Lepisosteus oculatus: one gene and its partner. The protein of the gene in region 1 binds, or shares a complex with, the protein of each later gene. Links are inferred from orthologs where the notes say so. Each region holds a gene or a part of one and is shown on either strand. Other genes may lie near its edges.

The links.
Region 2: the proteins of ncapg (region 1) and ncaph are in contact, whole or in part, in a crystal structure (PDB 6IGX), measured with the Homo sapiens proteins. The link is inferred for Lepisosteus oculatus from reciprocal best matches to the Homo sapiens genes NCAPG and NCAPH. Residues at the interface, in NP_071741.2 of Homo sapiens: Lys11, Phe14, Arg15, Gln18, His50, Tyr51, Lys53, Tyr54, Val55, Met56, Val57, Glu62, Ala64, Val65, Val68, Phe102, Ser106, Glu108, Ala109, Asn110, Ser111, Val114, Arg115, Ile149, Arg150, Lys152, Asp153, Lys154, Arg159, Glu188; in NP_056156.2 of Homo sapiens: Glu471, Ile472, Asp473, Phe474, Glu475, Asp476, Asp477, Ile478, Phe480, Val482, Tyr483, Phe484, Arg485, Lys486, Thr487, Ala489, Ala490, Thr491, Ile492, Leu493, Gln501, Asn502, Trp503, Ala505, Thr506, Thr507, Leu508, Phe512, Tyr514, Val516.

The regions. Positions count from the first base shown.
Region 1 is NC_090696.1:11,304,010-11,311,636, forward strand, and holds the start of ncapg (condensin complex subunit 3), read left to right. Parts: upstream 1-4,626; 5' UTR 4,627-4,904; intron 4,905-4,922; exon of another isoform or gene 4,923-5,035; intron 5,036-5,532; 5' UTR 5,533-5,542; coding exon 5,543-5,647; intron 5,648-6,446; coding exon 6,447-6,662; intron 6,663-7,364; coding exon 7,365-7,593; intron 7,594-7,627. UniProt on the Homo sapiens protein: Regulatory subunit of the condensin complex, a complex required for conversion of interphase chromatin into mitotic-like condense chromosomes.
Region 2 is NC_090697.1:68,556,488-68,564,196, reverse strand, and holds the start of ncaph (condensin complex subunit 2), read right to left. Parts: upstream 3,011-7,709; 5' UTR 2,818-3,010; intron 1,476-2,817; exon of another isoform or gene 1,472-1,475; 5' UTR 1,461-1,471; coding exon 1,216-1,460; intron 1-1,215. UniProt on the Homo sapiens protein: Regulatory subunit of the condensin complex, a complex required for conversion of interphase chromatin into mitotic-like condense chromosomes.

The DNA of each region.
Region 1 (7,627 bases):
TGCCTATTAAACCATCATCCATCTAGCTATTTTAAAGGTTTTGAAACAAGCTACATAAACAGAACAACTGGGAGTAATACTGCTGGTTCTTCCACATCCTTTTCTAATGGAATGGAATTCTTTATAATGTATTATCGTCATTGATGTTAGTCAATGTTAGTAGTCAATGTGCATTTGTCCAACTACTGTTTAGGAAAACAGTCCAGTGGAGATACTGTATACAGTATGTGTGCTGCCTGTTGAAATCCATAACTGAAGTGCTGCTAATTTTTTTTAAAGATCTCTTTAAAACCTTTGAAATTTAAAGACACTGCTTTCTAAAAAGATGTACAGTATTTAGGATTCAAGTGCCCCCTTTCATTTAATCAGATGAAATGGATACCTCTGCTGCTGTACAGGTCTGTCTAGTTTGTTTTTTAAAAGCAAAGGTTTTAAATTTGGTTAAATTTTAGTTTTTAAACAGAAGCTTGTTGGCAAAAAGTTGGAAAAAAATATTCACCTACACATTCCCATTCGCACGCCACAATTTTGGCACATACAAGTGGTATATTTATAGGAAGAGCAGGGTAAAAAATGTTGTATAAAAACAAAGAAATCTTAAAACTGAAAGAAAACATTTGGCCCATCTTGCTTAATTTGGTTGATAGGAGACAATTGATTCTAGGATTTCCTCCAGTTGTTTCCTGAAATAAGCCAAGGGCTCAGTTTCAATGGCAGGGTTGGGTAACTTGTTCCAGACTCCCACTTTTACTTGTACCTCCTCCTCGGCGGTGTGGTGGCTCTATAGCTAAGGATCTGTGGCTCTGAGTGGAAGGTTGCTTGTTCAAATCACGCAGCCGGCAGAGGAATCCTACTCCCTTGGGCCCCTGAGCAAGGCCCTTAACCCCAACTGCTCCAGGGGTGCTGTATAAATGTTTGACCCTGTACTCTGACCCCAAGCTTCTCTCCCTGTCTGTGTCTCATGGAGAGCAAGCTGGGGTATGCGAAAAGACAAAATCCTAGTGCAAGGAATTGTATAGGGCCAATAAAGCAACATTTGAGAAGACCACAGGACTGGCTTTGTCAGTGCCTTTAGGAACAACAACAACAACAATGTTTAATAATTAAGAGCCTTTGGAAACCCAGGAATGCTGGGAAATTTTAAAAAAATACAATAAGAAGTAAAAGAAGGACAACAATAAAGAAGAACTTAGATTGCCCTGACATAAGATTGAATGATAGAATGTAGGGCAACCAGGTCCCCTCCACCACCACCAATGTACAGCCATAGTGCGCCAGAACGCTCACCACACATCAGCTATTAGTGGGGAAGAAAACAGAGTGATGAAGCCAATTCAAAGATGGGGATTATTAGGAGGCCATGATTGGTAAGGGCCAGTGGGAAATTTGGCCAGGACCCCCTACTCTTTTCAAGAAAAGCCCTTGGATTTTTAATGACGATAGAAAGTCAGTACCTTGGTTTTACATCTAATCCAAAGGATGGTGCCTTTTTACAGAATAGTCTTCCTGTCACTATAATGGGGCATTAGGACAAACATAGACTGCAGGCATAGCGCCCCGTGTTGGCCCCACTAACACCTCTTCCAGCAGCAACCTTAGTTTTTCCCAGGAGGTCTCCCAACCAGGTACTGACCAGGTTCACACCTGCTGAGCTTCAGTGGGTTGCCAGCTGTGAGTTGCAGGGTGATATGGCTGCTGGCTATAACAATGGAATAACACACAGGCTTCAGTTCTGTTAGCTAGTCAATGTAGGAAAATCCCAGAAAGTCCAGAAATACTTCTGGTCTCTCCTGCTGTTATTAATTCCGGAGGAGAAATACATTTTTTGTAATGTGCTGACCAAAATTGTATGCAGTATTCTCAATGCGATCTTTCAAGTGCATTGTATAGTTTTAAAATAATATCCCATGATTTGGATTCTACACTTTAACTTCATATCCTAACATTGAGTATTTTTATTTGTTTCTTCACATCTAACTGGAAATGGTATAGCTCACTGAATGTACCAGAACCTAGATCTGCTAAAAATTTAGAAGTATTGGTCCTAATACAGATCCTTCTGGCAAAATACAGAATGCATTGGTATTATATTTGTGAGCTAAATCTATTATGTGCTTCAAGCAGAATATCTTTAAGCTGTAGCCATCAATTTTCTACTGATTTCATACCTAACCAGCCCATCTAAGTATATTGTAAACTATCATATCAGAATCAAACTGACTTCTTCAGAATCAACAGTGAAACACAAACCAGAAAACACAACTGGAAACTGCATGGAAGTACAGTCTTGACACATAACAACACAAGAATGTAAGAAAGTTTACAAACAAGAGGGGGACATCTAACAGTTGTGGTAGTTAGCTTAAAAAACAGTTTAGCTTTAAAATCACAGTCTCAAAATGTTCAGGTTTTTTTATGTTAATATCATACAAATACCCTATGGAGTGCAGAAACCACCGCAGTAGAATCTGATTTGACCTGCAAGGAAATCGGAGTGTTGTCAGCATAGCAGTGAATCCCAAGAATCCACCCAAGATTAAAAATATCAATACAGTACAAAAAAAAAGTTCATAGCACAGAGCTGTTGGAACACTTTGAGTAAGTGGGATAACATTAAATTTAAAACAGACCAGACCAGATCGCTAAATTTGCTCCTGGGAGCCATATACTGTAGGAGCCAAATCAACAAAGGCAACCTAGTTAATCCCTAGATAGTTCTACATGCTATTTAGTAGGATGCCTGGATTGACAGTATCAAAAGCTGCACTTAAATCCAGAAGAAGAATATTAAGCAGCTGAAGGTCACAAACCATCAGCAAATCAGGAACTACTTTAACAAAGGCTGCTTCTGTGCTTAATCTCTGTCTAACCCTTGACCGCATAGGTTTAAAGAGCTCATTAACAGGCAGGATGAGACTATTTTTGTTTGTTCACGGATTTTTGATAGAAAATGCAAATTATAAGTGGGATGGTAGCTGTTAGGTACTTGAAGGTCCAACAAGAGAAGGATACTCCGAATCTCCCCATCTTCCCCAACACTGCAGTCACACTCCAGGAGGCGAGGAAGATAGTATTAGCAAGAAGAAGTGAAAGTGTTACAGGCTAAAGGATTGCTGGAAATTTAAAATAATGTGAATAATATAGCAGTTATATAAGACAAATGTTTAGGGCCTGATGATTTTCTATGAAGTGTACTAAAGATAACAAGGGATGTTATATATAAAAAATATTTTATCTGCTATTTAATACAGGGTAAATCCCACTTGACAGAGCATCAATTCACAAACAAGGTGGGTTGACTCTATCACCAATCCACAAATCCAGACCAAGGAATTACAGACTGAGGAGCAAAAGCTGTACAGGAAGGGTGCTGCTTGGAGTTGTGGTGTTCTTCTACTTACGATGAATATTTTTCCTGTTTACAACATGATTGCATAAAGAAAGACTGCAAATGAGAAGAGACCATTTGGCTATCTTGCTTGTTTGGTTGTTTAGTAGTTAAGGGAGACTAGAACTCTCCAGAGTTTGGGTGTTAAAACCTGGCTGGGAAGATCAGATACTCATTACTCTTTTGTATATAAAAAAAACATTTCCCATTCACCCTCCTTCCATTTTAGTCTACAGTTATGGCAATTTGTCCTTGTTTTGCTACTGCGTTACACATATCTGTACCACTTAGGACCCTATACACTTGAGAAACATCCTGTTTTGTGGACTGAAGAGATTTTGCTCCCTTAACTTCTCCATAATGTTACCTCCATGACATTCTCCATGCTTTGCTTTAACTTCCTTGGCGCTGTGTGTGCCACTCCACCTATAAGTGTATAATCTGCAAATGTTTTTCTAATTATAGTAACATCTAAACCTTTGATGTACATAATGGTGCTGTGGCACTCCACTGCTTATATCTGTCCAGTGTCCCATAATTTAATTCTGATCAACGTTCATACACTACCCTGGATTCCTATGGCTTTTGAAAATCAACTAATCGTAGTTACTTGAGGTATTTACATACATACTGTGCATTGTTGTTAGCAGATGCATTTGAGCAGTTAAATGTGCTCACACACGCTCAGAAGAATAAAATGAAACAATTGTATGTTCAAAGCTTTTATTACAAAAGGGCTCAGTTATAGCTGTGCTCTCCAGTCCTAGGTTCAAACATATTACAGTGGCGGACATTATGTTGCTACACACTAGCTGAGCATCTGACCAGAATAAGAGGCATAATAGAGAAACAGACATCATCAAAGTACAGGCTCAGTGACCACAGCCTGGCTATAGAAACTGGACACAGGCAGACCCCGATGCCCAGAGAGGACAGGCTATGCTCCCACTGCCAGCGGGGAGAAGCAGTGACAGAGATCCACTTTCCGTTGCACTGTGAGAAATAGTCTGGGATTAGGTAAACATTCTTCCCTAAAATAACTGTAACTGTAACAGTACGCAACTGTACTGGGATATGTTTGTAATGTAAATGCAGTGTTTTTTTGTTTCTGCTTGGCAACATTGTAGTGCATCGGTCATGCCAATAAAGCTCGTCGAATTTGAATTTGAAAATACAAAAATACTCATCCGACTCAGTCCAAAAGCTTCACTGTCCTACATCTCCACCTCGCGGCGGGTAGACGCTACAGCACCAGAAATATTGTAATAGCCCAAGTATTCTGTTGCCATTTCTAATTTACAAGTGCTTTCTTGTAATACATTCTGTTAACAGATAAACCTTCAAAGTTCGCTGTATTATGTATATTTTGTTTTATTTACATTTTTTGTGAAACGTACCTTGAAACAATTTCACAGAGTGTGAGAGGAAAAGGGGCCGGGTGAGTTGAGATCTCGTCTACTTTCTCGCGAGAAAAGGCTTGTTTTTGAAAATTGGCGGTTTAGAGGAAGGAAAAGAGGTAAGACTTGCCGGAATTTAAATGTGTCTTTATTTTTTAAACGGATATTAAATTCGAAAACTGGCAGTAGAGTAAAACATAGACATATAATAACTACAGCGAGCATCTTCTCGGTCTTCATCTTATCTTAGGTAAGGATAACCTAACTGTAGGTAAATGTTTATGCTCGTTAATAAATAATGTTCAGGAACTACGACCGCAACGTCGACAATCTACTTACACAAAGTAACTAGTTACTCCACTTCAAAAGATTGTAATTTATAATCTGAACACTAAATGTTGATCGATTTCATTTCAAAACACGTTTGCTATATACTGCCTGTTTTACGCCATAAGATATGGTTTAATCGATATTAATTATACATTTAAATGGCTTTAAAGGTGGATTGTAACTTTCGAAGTAAACAAGTCTTATTATCGATTTTGTTTCTCTGTTTTGTGGTAGTAAATGAAGGTGTGGTGACATCTAGGAGAATTGTCAAAAAAATAATGCCGATGACTAGTCTGGGTTACTAGTTAATTACATTATAGGCATATATATGTATACACTTTTTGTTTTGTTACCTCTTCCCTATTCTAATTCTTCATTTTAATTTGGTCCTTTGTGAAACATTTCTCCTTCCCCCAGCAACACAAAGATGACGGAAATCAAGGATATTATTAAAGAGACGTATGAAAAGGCTCAGAAGGGTCACAACAACAAAGCCAAACTCGTAGCTGCTTTGAAGAGCAAATATAACGAGGTAATGATTTCATTTTTAACTGCTAATGTGTTTATTCTGTTAACTGCACATCATTTCCATTGCTAAAACCTGCAACGTCTGTAAATGACAGCAAGCTTATTATTCACTTGTCTTTTTTGTGAGATTCACTTTATTTCTGGTTTCAGTTAGATTTAGAAATGAAAAAAGCAGGTATATTTTGTATTCATTTTAGTATATTTCATTAAAACATATTTGTAACTAAAAAGTGGACATGACTATAGACATTGGATTTCACCTCCTGGTCTGGAAAGGCCCAGTCCAATACATTTTATAGATACCCATGAAATGAAGTTCTTATTCTTAGTTTAGCAGATGACATTAAATTTAGTAATTTAAAGATGTAAATTAAGAAAAACCTTTTGATTTTTTCCTGCACTTAAGAAAGAGGTGACATAAATATGTTTCGCTGTGCAGCAATCAGGATGGAGATGTCCTAAATATCACCTGATCCTCTTACTGTTGTTCAAGCTATGTCATTTTCCATTTCAAAATGTTGAAAGCTTTTGTTTGTTTATAATGCAATATCTCACTAGATTTTATTTATATAGTTCATGTGTATACAAGAGTGGCACAGTGGTGCTGTGGTAAGCATTTAGTCATTTGGTTGGCTGGCTTTCTTTTTTAAAAATTGCCTATGCTGAGCTGTATATTGTAAATATTTTGTAATACCCTTTTGTTTTGGATACAATTGCTAATGGTATAGTCTTAACTAAGAGATAATTGTAAAAATAACTATTGCAAACGATAATTCCTTTATGTAATCTACTTTTTTGTTTAGCTGGAAGACAAAACCATCTTCCATGAAGAGTTTGTTCATTATCTGAAGTACCCCATGATTGTTTATAAGCGAGAACCAGCTGTTGAGAATGTGATCGACTTTGTTGCAAAGTTTGCTACAAGTTTTGAAGAACCGGTGGAGAATGAGGAAGTGTTGGAAGAGAGTGAGGAAGAAGAAAACCCTTTTCTGAATTACTTGTTTACCTTTTTGCTAAAGGTATGAATGTGTAGCTTTATAATAATAATAATTGTTTATAATTATATAGCACCTTTCTGGACACTCCACTCAAAGTGCTTTACAGGTAATGGGGACTCCCCTCCACCGCCACCAGTGTGCAGCCCCACCTGGATGATGCAACGATAGCCATAGTGCACCAGAACGCTCACCACACATCAGCTATCAGAGGGGAGGAGAAAGAGTAATGAAGCCAGTTCATAGATGGGGATTATTAGGAGGCCATGATTGATTAGGGCCAATGGGAAATTTGGCCAGGACGCTGGGGTTACACCCCTACTCTTTTCGAGAAACACCCTGGGGTTTTTAATGACCACGGATAGTCAGGACCTTGGTTTTATGTCTCATCCAAAGGACGGTGCCTATTTACAGTATAGTAAACTATACTGCTTTGACTTTTTAAAAGTTTCGTGAACAGTGTGCTGGCAAAGTGTGGGTTTTTACTTGAACTACTGCTTTTTGCTTCAACTGGTATATCAAATTATTTTGTGTTTTTTATATAAATCTTGGTATTTCTGGATTATGCACACAAGCAAATTCTGAACCATAATATCCATGCTAATTCACCATGCTATGTTATTAAAAATTTGTTTTTGTGAGTGTTTTTGGCTTAATGAGATGCCTGAGTTAGATAAAAAGGTTGGTCAGCTGTCTTTACTTTGCTTTTTTTTTTAATTTTCGTAGTCCCACGATGCCAACAGCCATGCAGTTCGGTTCCGTGTTTGTCAGCTTATCAATAAGTTGTTGGGAAGCATGGCTGAAAATGCTCAAATTGATGAAGACCTCTTTGACCGTATTCATGAGTCTATGCTGATCAGAGTGAAAGACAAGTTTCCAAATGTCAGGATCCAAGCAGCTTTGGCCATGACTAGACTTCAAGAGCCACAGAATGAGAACTGCCCCACTATTAATGGTTGGTAATATCACTCGTTTTATGATACGTGTAT
Region 2 (7,709 bases), on another chromosome or scaffold:
CCAAAGAAGAAAATTTCTGTTGCAAATTCATTTTGCTTTAAAAACCTTGTACACATCTGAGAGGCTCAGAAATATATCAGAAAGACAAAGGGTCTGGACACCAATCTGTCTCCCCAGGAGATCTCTTTGATCTTTTGATCAGGCTGCTGAGTGAGGCTATATACACTGGATCCCTGCATGCAATGTTCAAAGAGCAGCGCTACCTCTGTTCTCTTTCTTTTTCTTTTTCCCATTGACAACCACTTTTGTGCAATATATGCCAGGGACCTGTGCAATACATTTATATTGGTTACATCTATTGGTTACATCTATGGTTACATCTATATTTATATTCATACGTGTGATACGATTTTCTGTGTACTGTTCTGTTCTAGTTTCCTCTTGTGTGTCCGGACTGTGAGTAACTCTTGTATTGTATTGTATTGTATTGTATGTATTGTACTATTAGTATATAATTCGTTACACTGTGGCTGTGTTGTGTGTGTTAAGCTGCTGTTGCACTGCAATTTCCCTCACGGGATCAATAAAGTATCTATCTATCTATCTACACCTTTTTCTGCTTTTCTGAAAGCCCATCTGTATGTGAAGGTTCACTGATGTAAGAGAGAACTTTCCCTTTGTTTTTCTGGGATTCCCCCAGAACTCCACACTGAGAACAATTCTAACTGCTAATCCTACAATGATGGACAGTATAACTGACGTGCGATACCACTGCTTCAAGAAGCTCAGGCTTTCCATCCCTTTTCTAACCACTTCATGCAAAACAGAGTCGTGGGGGTGCCGAAGCTGGAGCCTATCCCAGCAAGCAAGGGGCACAAGACAGAAAACACCCTGGACAGGATGTCAATCCATCACAGGGCACGCACAGACACAAACACACACACACACCAGGGCCAGTTTTCCCAGAAGCCAATTAACCTACCAACACGTCTTTGGGCTGTGTGAGGAAAGTGGAGCACCAGGAGGACATCCAGGCAAACACGGAGAAAACATACGAACTTCACACTGATAGCTCCCTGGAAACTGTGAGGCAGAAATGTTAACCACTGCGCCACCGTGCCACTCGCTTAAATAAATAAAAAAGGATCTTGGAGGTATTTAAGCAGGAGAGCCCTACAGGAAATCTACTGTAATGTGCCACCTTGCCACCCACAGTCACACAGGGAAACACATGCTCATGAAACTCTGTGGCCTGGCTGTAAGCCCCCGGCTGACCTGCGCGCAGGGGAATCCAGCAGCGAGCCATCCAGGCCGCTCATGTGCAGGTCGATGACCTTGGAGCGCCGCCTCTGCCTCTTCTCCAGGTCGTCATCGTTGCTGGGGCAGCTGTTGAGCAGCGGCTGGTGGGCGACCTGCACCACCTTGGCACGGGTGGAGGGCGAGACGAACTGCTTCCCGGGCAGCATCTCCGTGAGGACGTGGGAGCGCATGCCCAGGCGGGGGGTGGAGGAGGCACTCATCGCGGCACAGGCTGCCTCGGAGAGAGAGATGGCACAGAACAGCACTCTTAGACAACCCCGAAGCTGGCAATAAGAATGAGGTACGCATGCAACTTCATATTTAACAATCCCCATCTCTGAATTGGCTTCATCACTCTGTCCTCCTCCCCACTCATAGCTGATGTGAGGGGATCGTTCTGGCGCACTATGGCTGCCGTCGCATCATCCAGGTGGGGCTGCACACTGGTGGTAATGGAGGGGAGTCCCCATTACCCATAAAGAGCTTTGAGTAGAGTAATAAATAATAATAATAATAATTAGTAGTAGTAGTAATAGTAGTATAGTAGTACAGACCATCCCTCAGACAGCGCTTAACATACAGATCCAGCCCATATTACAATGAACAAATCTAGCATAAGTAGAACTCTACTAGAATATTTCCTCATCCTTGGAATATCTATGAGCTTTTTGCATGATATACAAGGTCTAGCTACAAAGTCAGTGTTTCCTCCATTTTATGGATGGCTCTTCGTCACAGTACAGTTAGCACTTTTATACTTTTACGACAACATGTCCTTGTCTGTCTGTTCAACTGAGCAATAATTACAATTAGTCAAGCTCTGTTACACAAACAGCTAGAACAGTACAAATACTCAGAATGCATTATGAAGCACAAGCTTTAATTTTCGACCGACTTCCTGTTGAAATCATAGGTAGCATTGTACAATTAAGAGTGGAGTAGGGATTAAGTACTGTATAAAGTACTTTAACCAGATTATTTCAGCAAGTCCACCTTTAAAAACAGGTAAATGTAACTTCTGTGAGTCATTTTCTATAAAAGTCAACCTAATAAGGAATTACACTATTATTCAACCCCAGTAAGAACACTGTTATGGACAGTTAAAATACAACTGAGGTTAGGACACACCGGCCTGACTGTTACAATAGAGAGTCGCCCAGGGACAGAAGAGGCGAAACATCCGGAGTGCGATGTTTGTTTTGGTCTGTGGTGGTTTCTACTGCTGTATTAACAATTCTACTGGATAATCGAGATACATTATAAATATAATTTTAACGTAACGAGCGCACATAACCGTGCGTACATTACTTGCAGTTTTATAAGCGATCGCGTCATATTTACTGGTTTTGCCGAGATGTAAATAACTCGAAACATCACCGAAATTTCTCCTCTGAAACCAATTTTTACGAGCACATAACTTCCAAATTGTTGAGAAAAAATATTGTTATCCCAGATACATATTTATTGGAGCTATATTTAAGTTATATAGCTCTGATTTTAAATTCCAATTACTGTTTTGTATTAACACAATTCAGATCACGCACCGGGATCAGAAAAAAAAACTTTAAAAAGCCTTACCGTGATCTAGATCCTGTTTAACCGAAGGCTATATAAGCCAACACTAAAAATAACAAGATTTAAAAACCCCAAAAAACACCACCAATAAACTGTTTGTGAATATGATGGATAATATGTTATACGATGTTACTTAAGATTGCTCAGTCCTCACTTTTTGAAAATTTGCGCCGACACAATTACGCATGCGCACGCACATCGGCGCGATCGTAAAACGTCATCACGTATAGTCAAAAACACGGTTCTCATTTGAGTTTCCTGCTCTGTAGGCAAGTGGGTGGGCTGTAGGTTTTGTGCTATTAGTAAATGCAGGAAATATTGTACAAAGGAGGCCCTGGCGCTATTTATAGTGCACATTTTCCCTTCCCTAGATATTTTATAAGAAATAGCGCGATAAAATGGTGTGCGGATGTTTACCTAATCCTTTATTTAACCAGATAAATCGCTTACGACCTTGATGGGAACCCCGGTGTAATATTATCTATATCTGTATAATATTATCCAGGTATAATATTAACTATTATATGGTATAATAGTTCTAGATGTATTAGTAACGACAGCAGTTAGCTTGTTTTCCTCTTAGAGAACCTAATTAGATTTTAGACTACACTAGGTGTTAGGTACTGTTAACATGACAATAATAATAATAATAATTGCTTACACTTATATAGCGCTTTTCTGGACACTCCACTCAAAGCGCTTTACAGGTAATGGGGACTCCCCTCCACCACCACCAATGTGCAGCATCCACCTGGATGATGCGACGGCAGCCATAGTGCGCCAGAACGCTCACCACACATCAGCTATCAGTGGGGAGGAGAGCGGAGTAATGTAGCCAATTCATAGAGGGGGATTATTAGGAGGCCATGATTAGTAAGGGCCAATTGGAAATTTGGCCAGGACACCGGGGTACACCCCTACTCTTTTCGAGAAGAGCCCTGGGATTTTTAATGACCACAGAGAGTCAGGACCTCGGTTTTACGTCTCATCCGAAGGACGGCGCCTGTTTACAGTATAGTGTCCCCATCACTATACTGGGGCATTAGGACCCACATGGACCACAGGGTGAGCGCCCCCTGCTGGCCCCACTAACACCACTAACACCATGACAGATTTGCATAACCTGACATCCCAGCTATCATCAGTTGAGATGATTATATGTGATAAGTTTTCATTACTGAATTGTGTAAGCAGCATGAGACACGCGTGCTTGAGTCTGACAGAAGAGGCAGCGTGTAAATAGTGGTCCTTTGGGAATCTAATAATAATTATTAATAATTGCTTACACTCATATAGCACTTTTCTGGACAGTCCACTCAAAGCACTTTACAGGTAACGGGGACTCCCCTCCACCACCACCAATGTGCAGCATCCACCTGGATGATGCAACAGCAGCCATAGTGCGCCAGAACACTTATCACACACCAGCTCTCAGTGGGGAGGAGAGCAGAGTAATGAAGCCAATTCATAGATGGGGATTATTGGTAAGGGCCAATGGGAAGTTTGGCCAGGATTCCGGGGTTACACCCCTACTCTTTTCAAGACCCTGGGATTTTTAATGACCTCGGTTTTACATCCCATCCAAAGGACGGCGCCTGTTTACAGTATAGTGTCCCCGTCACCATACTGGGGCATTAGGACCCACATGGACCACAGGGTGAGCGCCCCCTGCTGGCTCCACTAACACCTCTTCCAGCAGCAACCTTAGTTTTCCCAGGAGGTCTCCCATCCAGGTACTGGCCAGGCTTACACCTGCTGAGCTTCAGTGGGTTGCCAGTTGTGAGTTGCAGAGTGATATGGCTGCTGGCCATATCTGACCTGGAAGGGAGTGTAGGATAAGTCCCCAGGTCCTGCAGCAACACTGGACAATGTGAGTGTTCAGCCACTGTAGGCTTTTCACTGGCCTGAGAACACAGCCCTGTGCAAGCGCAGCTTTTAATTACATACACAGCCCCTCTCCGAGCACTGATCCTCCAGCCATATTTACCTGCATGCCCCAGTGGGCCCAATTACGCTCTGGGATTCAGAAGGCATGTTGTGTTTTTTTAACCAAGCCAACTTTCAACTTTTCCATTTCCTTAAAAGACTTAGAATTGCACCTGGTGAGGTCTCCTCAATTTGAATTTTTCTGACTGAAAGCCTGAGGGAATTTTCAATTTTGTCACAACTGGAGATATTGGCAGCGGGGGGAGTGCAGAGCACTGGGTTGCCAGAAAGAATTATTTTAGCAGAGTGTCTTTCAAGTCCCGAAAGGGTGGGTCCAGCAAGATTAGTGGATTTGATGGTGTCGAGGGGGTAACGGGATTGGGAGATGTATAAATGTGCCCCAATTACTAATTATGTGAAATATCATTTTTTTGCATTCGATACATCTAATATACCTTTATTTATATTTACATTATTTTATATAGAAAGAATTACAAAAAAATCTGAAAATGTGATTGATTTCTGCTTCTAAGAAAAAGTGTACTTTAGGTTGAAATGTAATCATGCCTGATGTTAGCTTTGATGCCACTACAGGTAGGTTACGTTTTGACTGTGGATGGAACCTACCTGTTAGCTGTCCTGGCTGCTTGGAAAATTACGTGCAATTATGCATCATTGCCTATAGGTGGGAGAAAACATGCAATACAGTTTTCCAAAACAGTTGCCTATTTAGTTTATTCTGAATGTTCAGTTCTGTCGTTTCTGGAAGCAGAATGATACCAAGCTGTATTAACACAAGAGTTCAATGTTCTTTACATACAGTAAGTCTGAAACTCAGTTATTAACATTTGATAATTTTTATGCAACATTTTTAAATGATCTAAAGTGAATTTGAATCAACTAGCTTTCTGAAAGAGAAGACCTTTTTAATAACCTCAAGAAGCACTAAGCAACACCTGATAATTTGTTGAAAAAAGTACCACGTACCAATTCAGTAGGATTCCTTGTTATTCTTTCTGCTGTTACAGAAGGGCTTCTCCACAATTCTTTTAAGAAGGGATGAAAATAATTACCAGAGATGGGTAAAGTACATTAAAGTATGTTTAGACAACAGTGCAATGCTAATTGTCCCACACGTTTCAAAATCAGCTTTGAAATCTAAGCTGTGGGGCACATACTGTAATAGATGAAAGAAGCAACAAGTCAAACGATTAGTTGAATGGCCTGTGTATGGGATAATAGTGGTTCACAAGATGTCAGAATAAACACACCTGGCTCTGTTGCGTCCCTTAGTCAGGTAATTACTGAGATGAGTGGTGGGTGTCTGGAACAGGCAGTTTTGACAAGCTGTTGGAGCAGACACTCTGGGATCTTGTACGGCAGAATTAAATTTGTGAATGCATTAGCTACTAGGACCCAAGTGGGCATGATGGGCCTTCTCATTTGCTGCCCATACAGTGTTCTTATATTTTTGTGTATTCTGTATAGGAGTGTTAAAACTGCCAGGTTATTTGTGAATGAGATCCCCTCCAGCACCAGAAATTGCACTGGAGTATATGGGGAAAAGACATCATCATGACCCTTAGGAGGGGGGGATCTGTAATGTTCTCTAATACACCATAATGCAGGATAATAATTCCGGCTTGCTCCAGGCAGGTTGGGCTCAGCATAATATTTATGGAGTGTGTCTCATTTTGCTTTGTGGCTCGCAGACGAGAGTTAAAAGCAGCTGCTGATGTACTGAGCATCTGACAGGCCATGGAATGATAGCTTCACTGAAGGGGTAATGGGTTATTAATAATTTCACATGAAAAGCCATCAGAAAACCCAGCCAGGCTATTTTGTTTGGAAGGGTGGTAGGGAATGACAGTTAATGATGAGGTTTGTTATTACCATCACTGCTTTTATTATAATTTTCCAAAATATGCTTCGAGTCCATTGTTAATATATGCTTTGAAAGTTTAGGAGAGGGGGTGGTGTGCCCCTGTTTTGGATCAGACATTTATTGGGCATTCCTTCTGCTGGCATGCTGTACCATACATTCTCAAGCACACACAAAATAAAACTCAAAGACTAAAGTTTGAAGAAGATTACTTTTGCTTTTGTTCACAGATCATTGAATTCTGCCTCCAACCTGCTCTTTTTAAAAAAATGGAGCAGTGCACCACTGAGCTAGAGTCCTCCAGTGTGCAGGTGTTTTTAGAATCAGCTTAAGTCTCGGTTGTTCCACCAATAAGAGCTCCAGCTTTTCCTCTCTTTGTTAACGTGAGGCAAACTCATTTACTGATAATTCCTTGAAAAACAAAACGCACTCGTGAGTACTCCTCAGATTATTTTTTTGTTTCCATCTGGAAACAAAAAAGTACGCTGCATCTAGAAAGCCTTCATCATATTTTTGAGAGTGCCTTAAATAAACTTGCATGTTTATGAATGCTACTGGCATGATAAAGCTGTGAAGTGCCTAGCCCAAACACAGATAGGCAGGAACACATACGACTGCTAGTGTCTCTCACTTAGTCTCATACTGCTGGCCCGTCCTTTTCAAAACTGTACAGAAGTCTCTGCCAAACAGCCAGTCAGAACATGCCTACCTCTCGTTAATGCTTTTTATTTACGTTACTGGATGCAGCACTTATTTTATTCAGGGAGGCATTCCTCAAAATTATGGGGAAATGGAAAGAAAATCCTCGCTTCTTTTTGAGATAACGAAGCATCCTCCTGCCCTCATGAGCAAAGCAGGGGCTGATCAAACAAGAGCAGTCTTTCAGCTCTCAGCATTTCAGCCTATAGCGGCGACTCCGCAACAGACTGTTTCCCTGCCCGTCGTGGCACCACGGCGCAGTAGGCAAACAGAGGGGGAGACAAGGAAGTACAGTCAATAGTTTCATGGGCACGCAGGAAAGCTTTTAGACAGGAAGAGGTCACTGTGCACTTTTAGCTAATTTGAAAAAGCTTTCTTTCCCGTATCA